Linked DNA regions of Solanum lycopersicum. The main gene of each other region encodes a partner of the protein of the gene in region 7 in a complex. Links are inferred from orthologs where the notes say so. Each region holds a gene or a part of one and is shown on either strand. Other genes may lie near its edges. The genes, in order: large ribosomal subunit protein uL1c; 50S ribosomal protein L6, chloroplastic; large ribosomal subunit protein uL15c; 50S ribosomal protein L27; large ribosomal subunit protein uL5c; large ribosomal subunit protein uL10c; large ribosomal subunit protein uL3c.

Region 1 (4,155 bases), on a different chromosome or scaffold from region 7:
TAATCAACCAATGATATTAAATTTTATATAATAAATAAATAATTATTGGTGAAGGGAAAATAAATTTTAAAAGACTGATAAAAGTAAACAAATATTTTAATTCTATCGTATAGAATATTCAACCATATTGTCTGCTTATATATCTCATTTTAAATTTCTCCATTTCAAATGTATTATAAGTAATTATTAAAATGAAAAATTAAAGGGAGAATGTATCATATAGTACAATAATTTAACTTATTATATATACTTGAATACATAAAACTATTAAGTTTGTTTGTGTGTCTTTACAAATCAACACATTAGAGTGATGAAATTCAGTTTAAACTGAAATTTCAGTAGAGAAAACTTCTATGAATACTCAAATAACGTGTGTTGTTTAATATGTATTAACAAATCCTTATAACAATAACTTTGCAGAAACATATACAACAAAGTATAAAACAAACACACTAGGATATGTAATATAATGAAAGAGAAAATAAAAAAATTGAGTCCATGAAATGCACAATGTACCCTTAAGAAAATTATTCTCCTCTACCACCCGAGGTTTAAAATACTAAATCCTCACGATAGAACGTTTAGCAGTGTGTTTATACAAAAATAATATTTAATTATGCAGAAGAAAGACGTTCAAAATCTTTGTTGTTTTAAAACAAAATGAAATCTCTCTATTCATAGAAAACAAAGGATAGTGTGAACAAAATATTTATAGAACGTTTAGCAGTGTGTTTATACAAAAATAATATTTAATTATGCAGAAGAAAGACGTTCAAAATCTTTGTTGTTTTAAAACAAAATGAAATCTCTCTATTCATAGAAAACAAAGGATAGTGTGAACAAAATATTTATTGTGCCAAATGGGAAATAACACAACTCTTTGAAAAAGTTACAATTCTTTTGAAAGAGCACAACCTTTCATAAAAGTTGTAACTTTTTGTAAAAATCACAGCTCTTCTTCATATAAGTCATTTAAATGAAAATTCTTACTTGTGATGACGCTACCTAGGTTGACATATGATTCTCTTATATATATATATATATATATATATATACATACTTAATCATTATTAAGTAATAAATATAATTGCTTTAATTATTAACTTTTAAGATTAATCATATATAAAAACATGCTATCGTATATGTTTTCAATGAAACATCCGATAAAATTGAAACAATTTTTTTTTTTTTCAGACTCTCCCAAGGAAACTTGCATCAATAAAGGGAGGGGTTATATGTTTAAAAATCAAAAGCTAGTAGGTAAAATCATATATTCTGTAACTTCTGTGGGTCAAAATGATAAATCTAATAACATACTTTTGATATACACTCTCTTATCTCGTTATCAACATACGCCAAATGGATAGGCATTATATATGATTTTGTTTATTCACCACAACAATCCCTTCGGTCTCATTCAACAATGGCTTCCACAGCAACGCCTTCTACTCTCACTCTTTCCTCTATTTTCTCACAAGAACTCAACCCCAATTCCCTAATTTTCAAATCAAAGCCTCTTCTTTTCACATCCCACAAATCTTTTTCTCTGCACCCATTAAGCCTCCAGTACAAAGAAAGGAAGAATGGACCTCTTGTTGTTGCTGCTATGGCAGCTGAAGCTGAGGTTGAAGACGCCGTGGAACAGGAAGGTGAAGAAGGGGCTGTTGCTGTTTTAATTCCTCCGTCTAAGCCTAAGAAAGGCAAGGCTGCATTGCCCTTGAAGAGGGATAGAGTATGTTGAAGAACCCATCTTTTTATTGTTGATTTGGTGGATTTTTAGATATGAAAGATGGGTTTTTTTTCGTTGTGTGATATGTGGGGTTTGCTTAATTTTTGTGTTTTGAGATGATATTAGAATGGAAATAGATTTCTTGCCCCTAAAGTGGATATAGCATGTGGAAAATCTCCAAATTTTTTTGGGTTAATTTATGGATGTTAGATGAAAGATGAGTTTTTGCTGGTTTTGTATGATAGGTTGAAACAACTATGCCTTTTTTTTTTCTTGAGCTACGGGAAACAACCTCTTTACTTCTCTCTACCCTGGCCAGAGCCCACTTTGAAGGACTACACTGTGTATGTTGGTGTTGTTGATGATGATTCTTGTGGCGATATTACCATGGACATAAGTCATAACTTTTTTGCCCCTAAAGAGGATATTTATGTTGAAACTCTTCATTTCTAATTAATTTTGTGAATGTCAGATGAAAAATGGGTCTTTGTTTGTTTGTATGATATGTGGCTTTTGCTTAAGTTCTGTTTCATTGATCTTTGTGGTGAGATTACTATCAATATGACCTGTTTTGGAATTTCTTGGTTCATTTTTTATGGGTGAACTTGTCTGAATTTGTTTGGTCGTGTAAAATTTGGTCTGTACTGATTTACCTACCAAAGGTCTGTTTTGTGTGATGATGAGATAATTCAGTAGTTCATTATGATAGTAGGTGATTTCTAACAGCTCTAAGTCTTTTTGGACTGAGTGGGAAGTAGCAGGTCGTTGGTGGATTAATCCTGTTGCATGAGCTTTCTGGGACACCATCCTTATTAACAAATTTATAATTATACCGGGAATTATGAAATGGAATTTAATATTACGTTAATTACAATTTCTAAGCAATGGAAATGAAATTATATTAAGCTAAGATTGTATCTGTATTGTGGTTGGCGAGTCACGTCAAAATTACCTAGTCTCACATTGTGTCATTTCAAAGGAAGCTAGTTTGTATATGCTTGCAGTTATTGGCAAGTTATGAAGCAAGTATTTACATAGCCTGTACTTTCCTGTTTGTATTGGGGGGAACAAGCTTTTTTTTTCCCTGTTTAATGTAGACTACCTTCCTCCTGCCCGAACATGTGAGGATTCAGAATCTTAAGTTACTTGGTGTAATACTAATAAAATGTGGAGTCCTTTTAAAAGTGGAATCACGGTGGCAAAGATCAATCAGGAATGGTGAACAATCAATTTTAATGCAGCAAAGTTAGACCTTGTGTAGTGGGATTGAATTAGATCATTCGAACTCTCTCATGTGATCCTTGTCCTCATAATAAGACATCTGAGGAAATATGCTGTCCGGAGATTAAACATTTCACATAATTCTGCATGTGGTTGTTCCTTTCACCAGAAAAGGATGTCACTGTACAGGTGCATAATTTTGCACTTTGGAGATGCTAGTTGTGGAAGATCATCTCTATTGATTTTCAAACTGCGTTTCTGATATGCTTTTCCTGTTGCTGATACATCAAGCATCAAACTTCTCTGTTTCTTTCTCTATCTCATTTACCCGTTGCTCCATCAATTTTCTCATAAATTGGTTACTTCTTTTTCCATAATAATTAGACGCGGTCTAAGAGGTTCTTGGAGATTCAGAAGTTAAGAGAAATCAAGAAAGAGTATGACTTGAAAACGGCTATAGAACTCCTCAAGCAAACAGCTAGCTTAAAGTTTGTCGAAACCGCTGAAGCTCATTTCCGGCTCAATATTGACCCAAAATACAACGATCAGCAGCTTAGGGCAACTGTAAGTTTTCAAATATTTCATTAATCATCATTACATACTTCAAAGTCTATATCGAGTGTTTACTGGTATATTAATATCTTGAATTGTGGTGACTTATCTATTTCAGGTTAACTTGCCCAAGGGAACAGGTCAAACTGTTAAAGTGGCTGTCCTTACCCAAGGTACTCCTTAAAAATATTTTGTGTGAATCGATCGTGATTGTATGCCAAATAATCAAGGGAAGTAGATTCCTTGATAATTGGTCTGTTAAGGTCGTTATCGAACTCCTTTCATTGCTTCTAGAAAATAGTCATTTTTATTTTGTATTGATAAATTAAAATGTCATTTAACATAAGTGTAGATGTGATACAAGTAACTGGGCGTAATAATGTGGAAATGGTCTGCAAACTAGAATATCATATATGGTTGTCATCCCAAATCAGCCTTGGTTAATTAGATTGTCTAGTGAACTTGCAGCTTTCACCCTACTTTTTTTAACGCACCCCAAAGAAAAAGGAGTAACTTTCAGAATTGTTTTTTTTTTCTTAAAAAAAAAGATCAGACATATGAATCTTCCTTTTTAGTGTGATTGTTAGTCTAGTTTTTGTAACCCTAGATTGAATGCAATATGCTAGGATCTTTTTTATATTTGGGATGTGGTC
Region 2 (2,030 bases), on a different chromosome or scaffold from region 7:
GTGCATTAAATGTATATTTCCCTGCTTTGACTATAATTACTGCTTTCTCATATATAGTTTGGTTCATTGAAAGTGTTTGAAATTAAAATAAATGGTCAAAAATACATTTAAAATATATATTTTTGGAGAGTAATTATTATCAATTATTTATCAAAATAGTCAATTATTTAGACTAAATGTTTGAATACATTCACATTCATTTGTATTAAGTTCCGTTGTTTCGAGTATTGTTATCAAAAGAATTATATTTGAGATTAAATTTGTATTGTTACTTATTCATGTGTGGAATTTATACAACGTATTTTCAATATTAAAGGAAAAGGTTACAATTTAATTTATTGAAAGATAAATGTTCAATTATAATTTATCGATTTAGAAAACGATTGCGTTCTTGCTAAAACTATGTTCATTTTTCATGAATTTGTAAATATTTTATTGAATGCAACCACCTCCATGAACACAACGACATACTTTGTTTTTTAATGTGATAGACCCTCAGCTCAAGAAAATCGTTTAATTTTTTCAGAACAGCTTTAAAAGAAATGTAAGGGAAACCAGATTACATACAATATTCAAATTGTGTGACTCTTATATTTAAAGGGATCCACAAGATAAAAAATTTGTCAAGTCACTTGCAAAATGAACCTAACTTCAAAATAGCTCTAAGAAAAATACAATAAAACAATGACAAAATGTACCATGATTTACTTCTTCTTGCCTGCTTTACCTTCTTTCCTTCTAACTATTTCATCAGCATATTTCACTCCTTTACCTTTGTATGGCTCTGGAGGTCTCCATTTTCTAATTGAAGCTGCAAATTGACCGATCTCTGACTTATCGTAACCACTTACAGTGATTCTGGTGTTTTCTTCAACCTTAACTTGCAGTCCAGCAGGAACTTCCATCCTAACGGGATGAGAAAATCCGAGATTGAGAACTATGTCTTTCCCTTCGATGGTTGCACGATATCCAACCCCTACCAATTGAAGTTTCTTCTCGAATCCTTTGGAAACGCCGACTACCATGTTATCAGTTAGAGTCCTGCCGAGTTTGATGAAGAAAAAGAACATCTTCAGAGTAAACACTCAAAATATGTGCATCTATACATTGTCACTAGAATTGACCAACATAACAACAGTGATAAGATTATGAAAAATTTTATATACAGTCCGTAGGTATTGGCAGAATGTTTGATAGAGTTGGTGTAAGACACATATTATGGCTTTTGAAGTTGAGAGGAAATCATTTGGGGTGCAGAATCATACCTTTATCACAAAATTCTGTGAAACTGATGATCATCATCATCAGAGACGAGAGTCGTGTAAATGAAAATTCCAAGTTGAAAATCACGTCTAATTGTTGAAATCATGGATATTCTTCTAGCTTAAGGCGTGTGTATGACACTTTCTGTAAGGATATTCAATCATATAAACGTATCTCCTAGGATTCAACAAGCTCATCTAGTATAAACTAGCATCAAAAACCTTATGATTTATGGTTATTATACCTAAACTAGTTCTTTATTAAAGCTCCTAAAACTCTACAACGACTAGTTAACGGCTAGTTTGACCATTTAAAGTAAGGGCAAAACAATAAACTATAAGTGGATAAAAACAAGGGACACTTCCTTATGAGATACTTCCAAATTTCCAACAATCCCACGCACATCTCAAAAAGAATATCTATAAAATGAAGAAAGAAAACATATTTTGATAGTTTGCTGGGTTTTGAGTATAATGGATCCATTTGGTATCTTTTGGATTACGAACCAAATACAGATGCTAAGATTTGACTTACAGAATAATTGGCAAAGTTGATAACTTTTACGAACTAAAAATTCTAGTTGTAAGCTAAGTTTCTTATTCATCACATTATACTCCCACAATTTCTATTGTTTATTGCAGTTTTGCGCTAATGCATAATAGACAACTGGCTTGCCTGGTTATTCGAGAGTGCTTTAGAATTTTGCCGTAATTTCAAAAGAGCAGATACACATGAATAAGATTAAGAGTTTTACTCAACCTCACTAC
Region 3 (4,285 bases), on a different chromosome or scaffold from region 7:
GTGGTAAACATGTAGTAGATAATTGCTTTTGACAGATTAGCCTGACTTGAGGGAAATCCTTAACTAAATCAACAAAACACATAATGAAACAAATTAAAAGACGAGATTGGAGGTTTTACAAAGAGCACTATCAATTACTTCAGTTATTAAGTTAGAATAGCCTAAAATAGTCAAAGTTATAAAAATTAGACATGGCAAGGCCTAATCAGTATGAAAGGCCTAAGAAAAGTAAGAACTTATTTTTTGACACACAACTCTAGGTGTGAGTATCAAGGTTCAGCATTATATAATGCGAATGGATACAAGTTACGCCAAAAATAAAGGACAGTTATGAATCATCTTAGTAATACCAACAACTTGACATTGAAGAAAATACTTAATCAAACGCCATGCATAAGGGAAAGTGAAGACTACTCAAGAGCCACACTGAGACTAGAGAGTCAAGGCACTGACATTCTCTTCAAATCAAAGGAAGAATAGCCCTTTGACTCGAGGGCCTTTTTACCTCCTTAGTATGAACTTTCCAAATCCTCCTCCTTTTAAAATAAGTTTCCTGCTAGGGGAAGGTTAGGAAAGGACAGATTTTATATCCGCTGATTCGGTTTATGATGGCATAAGGAGCATTTGTTCGAGTGAGAGCTCCTAGAATGTTCATTTTGCAGTAAGAAACTTCTTGACAGACGTTACACCTGGTTGGATGCTTGAGCACATTTCTCTCATATCGATCAAGGCTTTCCTTTTAGTTTAAATAAGGGGGTAACAGTCTTCGGATTATAGAGGAAGATAAAAATGTTGAGGATTTCAGAATATTGCAAATAAGAAAATAAGAATTTCAAGATATTTGCCTTGATGTCATATAACTATGCATAGCTTTATTTCTTAGTGCAATATATTGATCATTTGTAATAAATTTCTTTAGATTAATCATCAGTACAGTTTGAGTATGCATACACATATGTCCACCAGATGCAGATAAGACTTTTTATCATCCTATGAAAATCTGCCTCTGCAATGACACAACCAAAAGAAAAACAAACATGCTTGTAAACAAAGATACACACAGTGCACCCAAGTGAGTGGCGTAGTTGTTAATGGAGTTGGTTGAGAACCATAATGTCTCCTGTTCAATATTCATTTATCCAAGCCTTTCTGGATAGAGTTATCCGCTCAGCAGCGCATTTACTATTTGGAGATGGATGACACCAGGCAGGGCAGAAAAAAGAGTTTGTATTCCATTAGTTGAGGAATGAAGTAGCAAAGGAATATCCAACACAAGTGTTGGCAGGAAGAAGCAGGTACCCGTGGAATTAAGTACATGACAGTGTTATCAAATCAAAAAAACTCTGAGGACCATTGGGACTAAGCATAAAACGTGAATAAAGCATGATCTTTAATATAAAAAGGAGCAAAGGGAGAAATACAAATACATATGTTTGTTTAGTCTAAGAATAATAATTGTAAGCATGAATGACAAATATATGAACAAAGAAATTATTTTTTTTACTATTAAGTGAAATATCAATTGTTTAGTGTTGCCTAAAGAGACTCAAAAGAATGCCTAAGAAACTTGATGACGACCCTGAAGAGCACATTAAGCAAGACAAAGCGCTCAACACATTTTGAACCTCGCTTATGCACAGCTTTGACAACACTACTGCATGCAAGGTGCCCCGAACACAAATATAAAAAAGAACACATAGTCAAGTTAAAGCTATAAATTTTATAACACTTATCCATAGACTTTTAAATGGTAAACTATAACACTGCAGATGGACACAGAAACAAACAACAAAACAAGGAAAAACAAAATCCAACTCAAACTAAGGGGTCATTTGGTACTAGGGATGAGATAGACAAAGTTATCCCATTGATTAGTATATCCCGAGGAATTAGTTATCCCGCCATATATATATGAGATAACTTATCCTATCATTATCTTATAAAAATGACAAGATAGATATTCAGGGACTAACTAATACCCCTAACCAAAGGCAATCCAACATTTTATCCCGAGATTATTATCTCTTATCCCTTGTACCAAACGACCCCTGTGATAATATAATTATGTTGAAGCAATGTTAACAAATTACCTCCAGCAATTCCTCTCAACTTAGGAAGTCTCCTATAGAGAGGCATTTGACCCCCTTCAAACCCCTTTCTAACTCCAGGTCCAGACCTTGATTTTTGACCTCTCATACCAAAACCACAACTACCCCCTTGTCCAGCTGAATGCCCTCTACCTTTCCTCTTCCTATTCTTGGTAGCCCCAGGTTGAGGACCCAAGTTATTAAGCCGAAAACGAACACTCCCAGTTGCAGAATCAGCACCAAAACTTGCAGTTTGGTTGAAAACAACAAATGGGGTTCTTGTTATTGACTTAGATTTCAAATTGCAGACCTTTATTAAAGGCAAAAGCTTCGAACTTGACTTCAAATTACTTACATTACCCTGAAAAAAATTGATGGGGATAAATGAGAATTGTATAATTTTGACAGAAATTGAAAAATTAAAGAGGAGAAATTGTACCTTGAATGATGAAGAAAACTGGGTAATGATTGAATTTGTTCTTGTAGGTGATGCAGAGGAGATGGAGAGTAGAGACGCCATTGTTGATAAGGGAGAACTCAGGATTGTGTTCACTGTCCAAGCAAAAAGTGTTTTGACAAATTTTAACGGATAGGGGTGGTTATTTCAGGGACTTTCTTTTCTACTTTTTAAATTAGTTTACGAGTCTATTATCAGGTGTTCGATATTTAATTCGATATGTGTGTATTACACTTCATTTTGAGGATCGTGGTCTTTTTTGCTTCCAACATGATGTTTGATATTAGTAATAGGCTTAAATAAAATTTGAATTCACACACGACTGGGCACATTTTTAGAGGGGACTTTCCTAACTGATTTTTTTCATTTATGGGATTGAATTTGAAACATATGATTAAGAAAGAGAGATCTAAACGCTCGCTACAAGTCATATTAATTACTAACATGTTTGATTACTTAGTCATTGATAAATTCTATACGAGGGTTATTAGTAATTCGTCAACTTCTTTTTTAGATAGTAATCTTTCTTTTCTTCCTCTTTCGTCATGCTATACTCCGATGAGGATTACTCTTATAATGTTCTGCTTAAGAAAATTTAAAAGAATCTCCTTAATCCTGTCTTACTCCGCCCAAATTTCTGTATACATTCATTAATCAGCAAATTATAAAAATGACTACATTTATAGGATTTATCAAAGTTCAATAGCTACAAGTATGTTATTTATAAAAAATGAATACAATTTATATCTTTTTCTAGCTGTATTAATTCTTTAAATATTATTATTTTTCTATTTATACAGTAATACAAGTTTAATTACAACAAACTAAATAAGGAAAATGTATTAATTGTGTACAGTTAGTATATGAATACTTTGAATTCAAATTAGTATCTATATTTATAAAACGTAAAGTGTATATATATATATATATATATATATATATATATATATATATCAATGATACAAGTTTTTGTAAGAATTTAATGTATCAATATATATATCAAACAAGTTAAAGTATGACAATTAGCATATGAACACGGCTATTTGAAAAATGAATACATTATTGTTGTTCAAAAAATGAATGCAATATAGTATACATATGAATACATTGTGTTACTAAATCAAAGATGGATAAATTGGACAACGTAGAAACAAAAAAATAGAAAATAATAGAATGTGTCGGTATCAAAGTATATAAGAATTCGCCTGTATAAAAAATTGATAAATAACAATTGCCAATCTCTTTTTGGTAAGTGATCCTGTAATACATGAAGCTTGGTGTTAACTTAGGTATTTATAAAAATATAGTATTAATGTATCCAATTGTACTTGTATTGCCTAATCAATCTTGTAAATTGGATAAATTACTTATGTATCCAGATATATTTGTATTTGTAAATCACCATTTTCAACGAGTGTTAATATTATAATACAAATATCTATGTATATAAGTATTCTATTTTATATATATATATATATATATATATATACACACAAATTTGACAATCACACAAACCTCCATCTCTTTTTACTCATGTTCTTCCTCCTGTACTATTTTTAAAAAAAATATAACTATAGTCATTGCAATGGAGAAAACAAGATAATTCTTAACCAGAATCCTTTAAAAATAAATGAAAATATAGATGGATATAAATATAATTTTCATATATAAAAAAAGAGAGAAAATCAACTAAAATATATTTGATGAATTCAAAAGACAAAAATTACTCCTAGATTCATCA
Region 4 (4,102 bases), on a different chromosome or scaffold from region 7:
ATCTTCTGAATCATACATTTCATTCTGTACTCATACAAACTGTGACAAAGACTCATGCTTTCAGTAACACAATTTACAAACAAAAAAAGACAACAATGGCAGAAACACAGTTTAGAAAATGTGCCTGCAAATGTGTTCCCAAGTAGCTACTAGCAATAACCAAAACGACAACAGAATGTTTGAAAAATCGAAAGACCATTATCAGCAAGTGGTGATGGGATTATCTTCAGAGGATTCAGCAGCAGAAGCAACTATCAACTGAGGCTCAGGGATGACACCTTCTCTTCGTGCCTTTCTACGTTCACGTTGTAATCTGAAGGACTCTCTCTTTCGGTTTCTATAGCTGTTGGGGTTTTCAGGTTGCACCTCGCGTGGATAAACACTTATCTGCACAGTCAGTATACGTTAATAACACTCGTGTACCACATATCTACAAGCAGTAAGCTAAAGAACTCAACCTTTTTCCTGTCAGGTCCAAACTTTTCAAATTTGACTAGTCCATCAATCAAAGAAAATATTGTGTGATCTTTGCCAAGTCCAACATTCTTTCCTGGGTGGAACTGGAAATATCACCACGAGAACGATTAGGGAACAGAATATATGGCAATGCTAAACGGAGAATGCAACTTTTGAACTACTCTTAGAGCAAACAAACAGACGATAACAGGATCATATCAGAGCCGAAAAAAAGTAAAACTAATACCAACCTCTGGCATAAACCCTTTTACTATCTAACTGATAGAAGACGACATCTACTCATAGCATCATACTGTCAGAAACTGACACTTTCGGCAAAGAAAAAAAACTCAAGTCGGATTATAACAAATGTGCATTTCTTAAAGAGAACTTCCAACTATGTCTTCACGACACGAGCTCAAAACCTTAAACCTTATAGCAATCTGTTACTTCAAATGACAAGATATGTATCCCTCTAGTACCTTGTTTTGTACTCAATCTAACGCCCTCTAGACAATCCACATATTTCTAACAAATAATATACAAACCAAACGAAGAAAGCCAGACGAATGGAGCAGAGTTATTGACAAGATGCCAGGACCTAGTATGTTTGTGAGGTATTGAGCAAAAAAACTGGAATTACACTCTACTTGGGTGGGTTCATCCGAATTCATTTCAAGCACTATTAATTAATCAAAAGAACTATCAGAACTTCCACAGCAAATACGAGTTTTAGGCAAAAATAAAAAAGAGAGAGGAGATCCAGAAGAAGTAAAATTGAAACCTTTGTACCGCGCTGGCGAACGATTATAGAACCGGGCTTGGCGACTTGGTCACCATAAATCTTGACACCAAGCCTCTGTCCAGGAGAATCTCGACCATTCTTAGTGCTACCAGCTCCTTTCTTGTGTGCAGACTCAATTGTCAATGGAGATTTCAACGGGAAGGAAACGGAGAACTTAGGGGCAATGGGAAGAGAAACCCCAAGGAGAGAATTGGAAGATAAGGAGAGTCCTTTGAATGAGGAAACAAGACTCAAACTCACTGCCATTTATACGCTGCAAAGAAAACAAAGAAATTCAGTAGCCTCTCGTGGTACTTACTATCAGAGATGAGAGGCCTAAAGGAAAGGAAGTGATATTTAACAATGGGAAAAATATGAGCATAGAACTACTAAGAGGACAAAACTATTACCATAACAACTACCAAGGATCTTAATCGCCAATCTAAAATTTCCCCGGATCATCGCGAACACAAATTGGAGAAATATATTTTTGATAGTAAGTCTACAGAAGGTTTGACTCTGACTTTAACACTGCTCGGTATGACTAAAACAGTAGAAGAGTGATAAAAATGGTCCTAAACATATTTCCTAAGAAAAAAAGTTTTCCATCAAAAGGGGGAAATAACTACTCTCACTTATGAGATAAGTCATTTCCTTTTACTACGATTTCAGCTCTTTCTCCTTATCGCTCGCTCCAACCACTGTTTAGATAATATTGTCATTTCTTAATACTCAGCTTTATCAAAATATAAAACCAATTTGCTGAGCTTATTATCAATCTTCAAAAAAAATACAAAACACACACTCCTAACAATAGAAGTACCTTAAGTCCTCATTACAACTATCTTTACTCCATTATATATCTCTTGCATTTCAATACACATTACTTCCACTCATTGTTTTTCTTTTCAAAATTACACCAAACATCAACCCCCCTCCACCACAAACGCATTTCGCAAACTCTACACCACAAAATATTCCGCAAATAAGTCCTTACGCAAGCAATTGGTCATAAAAGAACCATATTTAATCATAAAGGACAAGTCTTTAAACCACAAAACAAAGAGGAATCAAAGGAAACCAGTATCAACAACAAAATAAACACTAGTATGTTCATCAAGATTGCAGTCCACCTAAAATATTAGTAGCGGTCAATAAAGTAGATTGATAACCATAACGTCTCAAGTTCAAATCCTAGTGAAGCATAAATACTAACCCCCTCCATTTCAATTTCCAATAGCAACTCTTCAATTCTAACTTTTCACATTAAACAACATTTTGATACATTCGACATAACATTAGTTTTACTTCAACCCCACTTGATTAAAAAAAAATCTTTACTTTCTTATATTATTTGCCAAAGTCGAACCACACAAACAAATTGAAATGGAGAGAATAGTAAACCAAGATTTGCGAGTCAGCTAAAATTAAATACATTTTCGAACACCCAATTAAACATAGTACAAGAAAAAAACATTGAATTTACAGAAGAGGGGAAAAGAGATGAACTCACCGAGGGGATTATGGAGCCACAATGGCAAAATCTTCGAGATAAAAAGATAAGAGAAATGTCAGCCATCCTTTTTATAATATACTTGACCCGTTTTGAATTGGGCTTTTTTTAGCTTGTTTTCGGGTTAAGTTTAATGGTTTCGTTTATCGAACATAAGTTATGGACATAAATTAATTTTGCTTATAAATATTGAAGTTGTAAATATTTTTATCGAACTTGTAAAGGGGAATAATATGATTTTAATTAGTAAAATAAAATGTTTTTTCAGATATCTTTTCTTCGAAACTAAAATCCAAGTGATTGTTTTTATATTTTTGAAAACGTTTTTTAATCTCAAATTGATATTCTGCGAAAAGTATTTTCAAAAAATGAAATCATATTTAAAAATTTTTAATTTAATTTTTATCGAGAAAATTTCATACTCCTACTTACGGGCATATATAATATGATTTTTCGATAAAAAGTATAAGAATAATTTTTTTTTGCATACCTCCATACAAGTACGGTTAAGAATGTCAAAATGAGCCTAAATATATATAACTCGTCTAACTCATTTAAAATTTTATAGGCGGGAGCTCTAGATATTTTGAATTGGATCAATCTCAACTTATTTACGTTTTAGCCCATTTTAAAATAATTTTTAATTGTGTCCAATGTAATCTCTAATTTCAACATGTTTTAAGAGTATTTTTTGTATTGGTGTAATTTATGTTCTCATATTGAATGCATAAATTAGAATCTATTTTATATTTTTTATGATTTATATATCAATTTTATAACTGTTTTTATTGAATTAAAATTCAAATAATAGTTATTAAAGGAAAATAACAATATGTTTAAATTATTGAGATTAAACATGTCAAATCGCACAGGTCATGATCCAATCCAATGTTTATCCTATTTGAGCCTAACATAATTTGAAGAGGTTATGATTCGACTTAAATTTTATTTGAACTCATTTTAATATTTTAAATTTTAATTCAACCCGATTATTTAACACGCCGACCTACAATAATGCCACATTATTCTTGAAAATTGCTCATATTATGCTTCTTGAACTAGTTAGTGGAATTGATTGCTCGAGTCAAAAGTTGTGTTGGTAAATTAAAGGATTTAAAAGAAGAATATTTAAAGTAAAATAGATTGTTTAATTTATTTACTTTTATAGGACAAGAACAAGTGGAGAATATAAATGCCATGAACCTAATTCTTTCAAAGAATAAATATATTTATTGGTTAAAAAATAATATTAGGTGAACATTTTAAATATATCTAAATTTCAATATATAAAATTAATACAATAAAATAATTAAATCCAACATCATGCTATATAATCTATATGTGCAAAT
Region 5 (3,571 bases), on a different chromosome or scaffold from region 7:
CCAAATCAAATGACATAGAACCTGAAACCACTAAAAAGCACATTCATACACACTTTGAAAGAAAAAACTCTGTACAATTTGAGCAGAATAAAATGAAGCCAAGGGAATAAAGATTCAGCAACATGGTATATACTATAAATAACTGTGACTTTCTAATATGCGAATATAAATAAACCTTAGAGGAAGAAAGGAGAAAGGTGGGGGATCAGGGAGTAGAAATAAGTATGGGACTCCACAGCCTCACACACATCAAGTGTTAAGCATTAGGACAAATTTAGAAAACGTAAATAAGATATCGCCCGCAAATACTCCTTATCACATACGATAAAAGATAAAAGCAGAGATGTTAACTCACCTAAATGTGAATATGGTGGAGCTAACAAGAGAAACTCTTTGCCTGAAATCAAAGTAAATGGCAGACGAGAAAAGGGAGCGGGTAGGAAATATTTAATAACATACAAATTACAGTAATCAAGATTCATGAATAGTAAAAACTTAACTAGAGATAAAAACAATTCTTATTTTTTTTTTTTTAGAGGAAGAAAACGTAAATAACATATATTCGAGACATCACCAGCCAGATGGTAAAAGTGCAATTACAGATTTTTCTATTCAAATTGTACGCCAAAAACAACTGATAAACCACAAAACAGTTAAAAAACAACAAATCAACTCATTATCCCTGGAGATTGGATCCACCTCATCTCCTAGACCTTTGCTTCGCCTTCGAGTCAAAATGGTGAGCTCTAAGCTTTTTCTTTTTCGTAAAAGTTGTCTGTCCACCAGAACCTTCTCTAAATGGCATACCCATGAGAGCCAACAATCTGTGTGCCTCTTTATCTGTCTCAGCTGTTGTTGTTATGCAAACATCCATCCCTCTTGGCTTACCAAGAGCATCATAACTTAACTCTGGGAAGACACTCTGTTCACGAAAGCCAATGCTATAATTTCCATGACCATCAAAGCTATTGGGGTTTACGCCTTGAAAGTCCCTCGTTCGAGGAAGCCCCAAATTAATTAACCGGTCAAGGAACGAATACATTACATTCCCTCGAAGTGTAACAGCAATTCCAAGCGGTTGACCTTCTCTAATTTTGAAAGTAGCAATAGCATTCTTAGCCCTAGTCTTCACAGGCCTTTGCCCTGTAATTAAGGCCAAATCATTCATTGCTGCATCCAAACCCTTGGAATTTTGTGCAGCATCTCCTATACCACAATTTACCACAATCTTTTCGACCTTCGGAACCTAAAACACGGTTTTTCCACATTCCGTATCAAATCAAATTAAAACTAAAAAATAATAATAGAGTTTGAAGCAATAGGTCAATGCAACTAATATTCACTGTGATTTCTCACTCCTCAAATGATAATAGTGTCAAACAAACTAATTTCTCAGCATTTCAACTCTAAAATTCAACATTTAATCAAACAAACAAGAAACAGTTCAAATTTGTAGATATAAGTTGTAAAATTTGAAGCTAAAGAAGTACATATGCTTTGAAATTGAAATTAACTTGAAAAGTATAATTGAAAATTGAATTTGTGTTTGAACCTGCACTAAGCTTTTTTAAAAACTGAAAAATTTGTTCAATTCCCCCATTTTCCCTTTCCCAAGCCCTAATTTTTATCTGTTCTGGAAAAAAAATGCAATGGACAAACGACTCCTAAGTTTACCTGAAGAATATTGGTGTAACTGAATTCTTCCTTCAACAACGGCACAATCTTTTCGAGGTAATTTGTTTTCAGACGATTAACTTTTTCAGCTTCACTTTTATCCACTAGTACTGTTGCTGAAGCTTTCACCGTCAATTTATTGGACGACCGGACCTTGGTATTTCCGACCGGCAATCGAACGGAGTACGCCGGAAACTCAGCATTGTAGAAAGAGGAGGCCGTGGAGTGTAGAAGAAGAGGAGAAGCCGCCATTTTCTCTGAGCTTTTTCTCTCTGTGTGTGAAAAATAAAAGGGTAATTGGATAAGATGTTCTTTGTGGATATAACAGAGTTCTCTCTACTAAATTTTAATTTGTGAATGTTTAAGTAAAAAAAATTCGGATCCATTTCGCCATAGATTTTTCAAGTAAAATTTTTTACGTGAACATCAAAATAATGATGTAATATTCAGTAAATAAGAAAATGACGATATGATTATTGATAAAAGTGACGAACAATATGTTTCGTCTACTTCATAATGTATGCAATGATGCTTGTTGCACTATCTCTGAATTACCATATTGCTTCAGTGACATGGACACTAATTGTTACGATAGTGAATCTTTTTATTCTATTTTGTTATGCAATACAAACTTATAGTTAGTTTTGATAACTTTTAAAACTTATTAGTATACATTTCTTAAAAAAAGTGAAATATGTTTCCAAAAATTAAGCCAAACATATGATGAAATTTATGGTTAAATGTTAGCTTAAGTTTTGGGCTAAAAATTATTGAATGAAGATCGTATCAAATCAGGAAAATTGTATATAATAGCAAACTGTTAATTTAAATTAAATGTTATAAATATACTTTGATTTAATTGTACCCTATAGCAAACTATTGCTATTTCCGCCACTCTCCCTGGTGGAATCTCGCTCGCCACTCTCGTTTTGTGACAGTCTCACTCACCTCTCTCGTTTTTTATACAAACACAATTGTATAAAATGTGTTTGCGTTTGTATAAAGTGAGAGAAAATTGTATAGATACATATAGTTTTGTTCACCTATCTCAAATCTCACTCACCACTCTCCCGAATCTCCCTCGCCTCTCTCGCTTATTCAAACAGAAACGAAATGTATAAATTGCATTTCTGTTTGTATAAAGCGAGAGAAAATTGTATATACACATGTAAATACATATATCTTCGTCCTATACACTTGTAATTATACAAAACAAATATTCTCCTGCTCAGTTTTCTTTTGTCTTTCTCTTTTTCTCGTTTTATACATACACAAATGGCAGATTATACAATTTATCTTTTGTATACAACTGCTTTCTTTTGTATATGTATAGTGAATTATACAACTGCTTTCTTTGTATATGTATATAGGGAATTATGCATATTTATATTTGTCACCGAGCGCAAGTATACAAACTTTGCTATATCATACAAATATAAATTTTGTATTTGTTATATATGAAATTTACTATATCAAATTTTATTGGCCCAACAAAAATTTTTACCAAGAAAATATTGGGGTCTATTAGACTGGAATGAGGTAGGCCCAAGTCTAAATTGGTTTGTGGGCTGGATAATTTTTTGAAAATTTAACGTCGTAGTGGCCCATTTCATTAAATAAACCTAATCTTTATTATTTAGCCAGTTTCTTCACTGGCATGTCTTTGTTTACATTTATAGCCTAATTTCGCTCATTTCTTCTATACTTGTATTTACTTAGATTATTTGAACTTCGTTTATAATTTATTTATTTTGGATGAGTTTACCTTGAATAAAGGTGAAAATAAAAGAATTTCACATCGAATGGGATTGGAACCTCAAAAGTTGTGGTAGAGTAGAAAGTACGAATATATTTTTATCAGAAATTTTAAATTCAGAGTTATAGAATATAATTTCTT
Region 6 (2,583 bases), on a different chromosome or scaffold from region 7:
AGAAATCCCAAAAAGTGGAGTCTGGGGAAGGTAGAGTGTACGCAAACCCTACCTCTACCTAGTGGAGGTACAAAGGTTGTTTCCAAAAGACCCTCAGTTCAAGTGAAGTAAATGAAAGTACTAACAAAAAGGGAAAACGACAATAAGGAAAACATGAGAACTAGTAATAGGAAAGCACTGCAGAGGATACATGCAAGAAACAATAACGTCAACAATATAGTGCGATCAACATATAACAATAGCAAGAAACTGCAAGAATAAAGCTACACACTTCCTCCAGACTACTACCAAAGCCCAAACTCAGCAAATAGCAAGATCTTAGTGCACCGAGCTGCCCTTTTAATATTTGACAAATATAGTGAGCTGAAGCAGGAATACAGACTATTTTCTTGGTTCAGTGATAATGGAAAGAGCAGAATAGTACATTTCACATAACATAAATCCTCTCAAACAGTTATGAAGTAATCCAGATAATTATCCGCCAAATACGAGGACACAAATTTAGAACAATTGGCCAAGGATAAATTCATTCTACCAAAAACATAAAATTTACAAAATTCCATCTCTCAGAAAAATTTCAAATATTGATCCAAATAGACAATAGTATTAGCTTACCATATCCAAGAATTACAACAAAAATTATTGACTTCCACCTTCTTCCTCCTCCAATTTCTTTACATAAGCCTTAAGAACCATAACCAAATTCCTTGCTGGAGCTTGAATAGTCCCAACAACAGCTGAAGCAGGTCCTTTCAAAGACCCAAGAAGCTGTGAATAAATCTCAGCTCTTGTAGGCAAATTCTCAAGCACCTTAAACTCATCAGGCCCATAAAACTTCCCTTCAAAAACCCCACCAGTAAAATCATTATCTTCCAATTTCTTCTCCCTTAGAAAAGTCCTATAAGGTTTCAAAGCAGCTGGGATTTCTTCACTATGAACAAATAACCAAGCATTCATTCCCTTCATACATGGTTTCAATGCTTCCCATTTTGTCCCTTCAATTGCTTTAAGTACCAATGTGTTCTTAGCAACAAGAAGCTTTGTTGTTTCTGGGAGTTGAGCCCTAAGATCTTGAAATTGCTTAACTGTTAACCCCTTGTAACTGATTCCAGCTAAGAGATAACAATCTTCAAGCTGTTGCTTCACTGTTTCGACTGTTTCTTCTTTCTTGGTTCTGCTAATGGCTGAACGAATAGTTAGAGTTCTGGGTTTGAGTTTGAGGTGAGAACTGGAATGGGGGATTATGAAGGGATTGTTGAAGTGGGATTTCACGGAAAATGGGTAAGAGTGAGAGGAAGAGGAAGGTAAGCTGAAGAGAGCAGCCTCCATTGATGATAGCTTGAGAATTGGATTGCCTTATCTTTTGTGCTAAGATAGAATTTAGGGGTATTTCATAAACTTTATGTTTTTGAAAATATTTATGTCATACCAAACAAACCATTAAAGAAGTTAAAAAAGGCAAAATAGGTGTAATATTTACATATATTTTATCGTCTTTAATTTATAAAATTATGTTAGATATATTTTTATTATTATTATTAACAAAATTCTTGAGATGATTTGATATGATATATAAAAGATAATAATTTCATAAAATGTAAAATTATTTTATCTTATATTTAAAGATATTAATTATGATTCGATCAGTTATTTTAAATATATATTATCATTATTTTCAGATGCTTTATTAATTTTTTTTTAAAAAAATAATATAATAATCATATCAATTTTTCTTCTATATTAAAATATTTTATTAATTTTGTTTGAATTTCATAGTAGAGTCGCATTAAGTATAATCAATGCAAATATTATATGATGTATTTGGCATTAAGGTGTATATAAGATATGGAATTATGTGGATATTAGTAAAAAAAAATATTCATGCATTAGCATAATAAAATCACTATTGCTCTTCAAAACTCTTTTAACATCATTTTACTATATTTGTGAAAGATACTTATATAAATAAAGAATTTTGTTCAAAATTGATGTAATACAGATTATTTTCTTTACGTCAAATCAAATATTAAATATAAAATAATACTCCTATCAAATATAACTCATACAAATATTAATAATAATTAAATTATTTACTACTAAAATTCACCATATTCAATATTATTCCTTCTACACCTCGTCAATCCTTTTTCAAGTATGTATATCTGTATCTACAAGTTTATCAATTAAAAATGCTGGCTTAAAATAAATTTAAAGAGTCAAGAATATTCAAAAATTATTTCTGAATGTAATCAAAATCACAAGTGATATTTTTGTTATTTTCTCTGCTCAGGTCCTAGACTTTGCTTCAATTATATTATATTATATTATTTTAATAAATATAATATTTGAATAGATTGTATCTGTATAGTAAAGACAGAGCGTGAGGTGAAATCTTTTACATAGTATATGGTGAGGCGTATGTCCTGAGACACAAGACGTAAGTCTCATAGTTTTAAGGGGCATAATCACATGTATATTCAATTTTTAGTTTAATTATTAATAAAATAAGCAAAAGTAAATCTTTCAATGATTTATGATTTTTATTTGAGATAAGTATTAATAATCGGTAATGAACAAAAAAAA
Region 7 (4,161 bases):
GTTCAATGTGGTGTAATGTTGCTGTTACCTTTCTCTTTTGTAATTATAATGACTTGCACTATAGTATAGTCATCTATAAAATAAATATTTTTGCGCCAAAATCATACAATTCCCTAATAATAAAACACCAATTAAACTACAATCGTTTTAAATGCCAAACTTTAGACGAGATGGTGAACTTTAAAGTTTATAGTACATGAAAAAAACACTATTTTACAAATTGATATGTTGTGAATTTTCATCAATAATTTGTCTCATACGATAAATGGTTTTGAACAGATTGATATTTTGATTCGTGAATAGAATATGTGTTTTTATGGTTATGAGAGGGAGGACACAAAACTAGATATTTTCATAGACTTCTGATAATGTAAAGTTTTTTAGCTAAGAAATCTGACAAATAAAACTTGAAGGTAGAGATTGGTTGAAACACAATATCATAATTTGAAAGAAAAAATTTCATCACTTCATAGAGTTGATAAAAGAAGAGGGAACAAAAATTAGTTCTTGGGGATGTTTTTGCCAACTATCTTGGCCGGAGCTATTCGCAAAAGATTTCCAGGCTTACCAGGAAGAGCTCCTTTGATCATTAGAATCTTAAGTTCATCATCAATCTTGACGATCTTGAGCTTTCTAATCTTTGTCCTGGTGCCTCCCATTCGTCCAGGCATCTTCTTGCCCTTGTATACACGCCCTGGGGTTGTCCCAGCACCAATTGATCCTAGTTGTCTATGACTCTTTGATCCGTGAGTCATTTGACCCCTCTTGAAATTATGCCTCTTGATACCACCTGCAAGCCAATTCCACCAGTGTCAACAATGAGAGAGCGAAAAACAAGATATGATAGATAGAACTTGCTTTCTGTAAAGACAATCAAATTTGAGATAAAAAATTACTTCTCTAGTAAGTGAATGATATATCTAGAGTCAAGACCGCCACCAATAGAGAACCAAAGAACTACCTGTACCTTGACTTAATAGTTACAATATGTCGATACATGCACCTGTATGGAAGTCTCGTCTGTATGATACTTCAAACAACTATTCAGGTTATGATAAACTTTTAAGACGTGAAAAGTTGATAAACCCTACTTCCACATTTAAACATCTGAAAATGTACACTGTGGAATCAACCAGCATAATTAAACACTATGATAGCAAGTCATGTTAACCAGAATATCAAGATATCCATTAATGAAGCTTATTTAGGTGCTGAAGCCATGCCACACGAAGAGAGGAGCTACCACGATGTTCAATTACAATGTCATTTTCAGTTGGAATTGCAGTATTTACAAACAAAAGTTGCGGTTATTGAGGAAAATCAATAGAAGCATTAATACAAACCATTTGGCCAAAAAGTTAATGTAGCTCATGTAACAGGCATTTCAAGTACTCTTACAAATAAGTAAAATATCATATTTACATCTATAGTGATACATTGTATCATAATTATACAAACAAATACATTCTGGTTTAAGGATAAATGAATTGCAATAGCATAACAAAGTGCAGTAATGCAAAACCAAAGACTTGATATTTCAGATGTATCACGCTACTAAAATCACAGGCCAGTTCTCTTTTAAACAACAACCGCGCTCCATCCCAAGCTAGCTATATGAATTTAGAATATCCATTTGAACTAGATTCATTAACAATACGAGTTCTCTATTTCACAGTTCACATATGAAAGACAATATATTCATAGCTCACTGATGATAAGAAAAAACTAATCACAACACATAAAATCAAGGTCAATTGTACACTTCATTCATGAAATTGGGATGAAATCTTCGGACCTGTTTGGATTGGCGTTTGGCATGGGATTTTTATAAAAACCAAAAGCCTTGTTATACCATTTCTAACCTATGGCTTTAGCTTATTTTTGACTTAAAAATAAGTGTTTATAAGCACTTTATAACTTTACCCAAATACTTAAAAACAATCGAAAATGAGCTCAAATCTTTGATAAACAAGGCTAAATTTAGATAACGACCCGAAAAAAGCAATCTTTAGGATAATTGGAGTGGTAGAGAAACAGACCTTGAAATCCTTTTCCAATGGTTGTACCAGCGACATCAACCAAATCACCTTCTTTAAATAATTCATTAAAATCAAGTTTCTGCGTTACTTCAAATCCATCAACAGACTGAAGACGAAACTCCTGCAAATGACGGAGAGGAATAATCCCAGATTTTTCAAGATGACCCATTTCAGGTTTAGTTAGTTTTCTATCACGAACTCGTCGATACCCAACTTGTACAGCACTATATCCATCAGTAGCTTCAGTTTTAATTTGAGTAATAATATTTCCTTCGCGAAACCCTACAACAGTAACAGGCACCACTGTTCCTGAATCTTCAAAGAAACTCATCATTCCAAGTTTGGTTGCCATTATTCCGACTCCAGCTTCAAGAGAGGCAGAGATAGCTGGAGATGTTGAAATGCGGAGAATTGAAAGGGGTTTATGTTTTGGGAGTCTGAAAGAGGGGAGAAATGGAGAGTGCAGAGTTAAGGGTGTGACTGTGGTGGAAGTGGGTAGGGTTTGTAGGCGGAGCTTGGCGGTGGGCATTGTAGAGAAAGAAGAGAGAGACATGGCTTACTGGTTCGCTGAGACAGAGAAAGAGGAAGGGGAAACGCCCTGTTATAGGATTTCCTTATCCGGTACAAGATGGGGAAAGAGGGAGATGGTTGCACAAAACTATAAGACCCCAAATATAAATTAAGGAGCGGTATCTCACGTAATTTTAATCGAATTTAATTTCAACTCATTTAAGTTTTAATCTATTTTTTAAAAAATATTTAATTTAATCATCAATTTCAATTTTTTTATATAACTTTTTATTTGCATTGACGTTTCTATACCGAAAGTATAAATTATTATTTATTTTATATTTTTTTAAAGATTTATCTATTAATTTGTAACTGTTTCTTTTTTTAAAAAAAATAATAATTTTGAGTTGAAATTTAAATTACAATTATAAAAATTAAATATTACTAAGTTGAAATTATTGAGATTAAGCAGGTCAAATTGAACAGGACCATGACCCATTCCAAATTTGAGTCCAATTCATTTGAACTCAAAGTAAACTTGGTTTGGTTAAAACTCAACCCAAATTTTATTTCAATTTATTTTATTATTTTCAGTTTCAACCTAACTCGCTCATTTGATACCTCCTAAGAGTGACAAATACTTCTACATCATTTATTAGAGGTCGAGTTCGAGTCTTCTGGATATAAATTTATCTTTATTAGGGAGCAAAATCCTTAATCAGAGGTCAAATTTGAATCTTTTAGATACGAAAATTGTCTTATTTAGATAGCAAGAATAAGATCATATAATTTTTTATGCGAAAATTATTAAACTAGTCAGAATTCCTAACATAATTATTATAAGATCTATACTTAAGAATAATTAATAAATGTAAATATGTCAATATTTTATTAACTATAAGGTATCATAATATAATTTAGTTACCTTTTTTTTTTCAAATTGAACCCACTTTTTTTTATCCTGTTACTGATGAAAAGAAAAAAAGAGATCTTATTATCGACTTTTTTCTCTCAAATTTTTTATCCATATTTTATCATGCCTCTCTCACACATTTGGAACAGGGGCGGATCTACTTAAGCTCGTGGGGTGCCACGCCATCCACGAGCTTCGGCCAAAACGCGATGTATGTATAGGTGTATATATGTACATTGTATCCCCCTTCTAGACCCCGGATTGAATCCGGATAACAACTTTTTTTTTTAAAAAAAAAAAGGAATTTAGCTTCAATAATTCATATTTTGAAGATTATATTTCTTTTTCTTTTAAATTCTAGTTGACTTAGTTTTAATTAATAATTATTGTTGACTAATTTAATTTATTAATCTTTAATTTTTTTATAATTTGTTATTTGTTTGATTGAGAAGCATTAAAAATAGCTTTAAACTATGTCACGTCAAATAAAAATATACTCTGTTAATAATTTTATTAAAATGTCCATACGATTAAACATTTATTCTAAAAATGTCTCCACTACTAATATTTTAAACCTAAAAATGTCTATGTTGTTATTTTATTATGTCAAAATACACCTTTTCTAATGAACATAATTTTTTTTATTTTCTAATAAAATTATTGTTTTTAAAGAATTCCTTTCTTGTTTTTTTTTTCTTT

Evidence for each region.
Region 1: large ribosomal subunit protein uL3c (region 7) and large ribosomal subunit protein uL1c share a complex: the UniProt entries of both Arabidopsis thaliana proteins name them as parts of the 50S ribosomal subunit. The link is inferred for Solanum lycopersicum from reciprocal best matches to the Arabidopsis thaliana genes AT2G43030 and EMB3126.
Region 2: large ribosomal subunit protein uL3c (region 7) and 50S ribosomal protein L6, chloroplastic share a complex: the UniProt entries of both Arabidopsis thaliana proteins name them as parts of the 50S ribosomal subunit. The link is inferred for Solanum lycopersicum from reciprocal best matches to the Arabidopsis thaliana genes AT2G43030 and emb2394.
Region 3: large ribosomal subunit protein uL3c (region 7) and large ribosomal subunit protein uL15c share a complex: the UniProt entries of both Arabidopsis thaliana proteins name them as parts of the 50S ribosomal subunit. The link is inferred for Solanum lycopersicum from reciprocal best matches to the Arabidopsis thaliana genes AT2G43030 and RPL15.
Region 4: large ribosomal subunit protein uL3c (region 7) and 50S ribosomal protein L27 share a complex: the UniProt entries of both Arabidopsis thaliana proteins name them as parts of the 50S ribosomal subunit. The link is inferred for Solanum lycopersicum from reciprocal best matches to the Arabidopsis thaliana genes AT2G43030 and RPL27.
Region 5: large ribosomal subunit protein uL3c (region 7) and large ribosomal subunit protein uL5c share a complex: the UniProt entries of both Arabidopsis thaliana proteins name them as parts of the 50S ribosomal subunit. The link is inferred for Solanum lycopersicum from reciprocal best matches to the Arabidopsis thaliana genes AT2G43030 and AT4G01310.
Region 6: large ribosomal subunit protein uL3c (region 7) and large ribosomal subunit protein uL10c share a complex: the UniProt entries of both Arabidopsis thaliana proteins name them as parts of the 50S ribosomal subunit. The link is inferred for Solanum lycopersicum from reciprocal best matches to the Arabidopsis thaliana genes AT2G43030 and EMB3136.

What each region holds. Positions count from the first base shown.
Region 1 is NC_090800.1:78,432,018-78,436,172, forward strand, and holds the start of large ribosomal subunit protein uL1c, read left to right. Parts: upstream 1-1,355; 5' UTR 1,356-1,423; coding exon 1,424-1,732; intron 1,733-3,334; coding exon 3,335-3,514; intron 3,515-3,620; coding exon 3,621-3,675; intron 3,676-4,155. UniProt on the Arabidopsis thaliana protein: This protein binds directly to 23S ribosomal RNA.
Region 2 is NC_090811.1:69,213,316-69,215,345, reverse strand, and holds the end of 50S ribosomal protein L6, chloroplastic, read right to left. Parts: intron 1,042-2,030; coding exon 705-1,041; 3' UTR 501-704; downstream 1-500. UniProt on the Arabidopsis thaliana protein: This protein binds directly to 23S ribosomal RNA and is located at the aminoacyl-tRNA binding site of the peptidyltransferase center.
Region 3 is NC_090804.1:3,795,317-3,799,601, forward strand, and holds the start of large ribosomal subunit protein uL15c, read right to left. Parts: upstream 2,801-4,285; 5' UTR 2,608-2,800; coding exon 2,527-2,607; intron 2,449-2,526; coding exon 2,091-2,448; intron 1-2,090.
Region 4 is NC_090810.1:58,850,415-58,854,516, forward strand, and holds the start of 50S ribosomal protein L27, read right to left. Parts: upstream 2,801-4,102; 5' UTR 2,754-2,800; intron 1,515-2,753; 5' UTR 1,508-1,514; coding exon 1,241-1,507; intron 561-1,240; coding exon 459-560; intron 388-458; coding exon 202-387; 3' UTR 1-201.
Region 5 is NC_090808.1:1,642,617-1,646,187, reverse strand, and holds large ribosomal subunit protein uL5c, read right to left. Parts: upstream 2,096-3,571; 5' UTR 1,927-2,095; coding exon 1,675-1,926; intron 1,247-1,674; coding exon 701-1,246; 3' UTR 501-700; downstream 1-500. UniProt on the Arabidopsis thaliana protein: Binds 5S rRNA, forms part of the central protuberance of the 50S subunit.
Region 6 is NC_090803.1:3,526,247-3,528,829, reverse strand, and holds large ribosomal subunit protein uL10c, read right to left. Parts: upstream 1,434-2,583; 5' UTR 1,330-1,433; coding exon 640-1,329; 3' UTR 501-639; downstream 1-500. UniProt on the Arabidopsis thaliana protein: This protein binds directly to 23S ribosomal RNA.
Region 7 is NC_090805.1:36,930,232-36,934,392, reverse strand, and holds large ribosomal subunit protein uL3c, read right to left. Parts: upstream 2,801-4,161; 5' UTR 2,593-2,800; coding exon 2,040-2,592; intron 791-2,039; coding exon 501-790; 3' UTR 421-500; downstream 1-420. UniProt on the Arabidopsis thaliana protein: One of the primary rRNA binding proteins, it binds directly near the 3'-end of the 23S rRNA, where it nucleates assembly of the 50S subunit.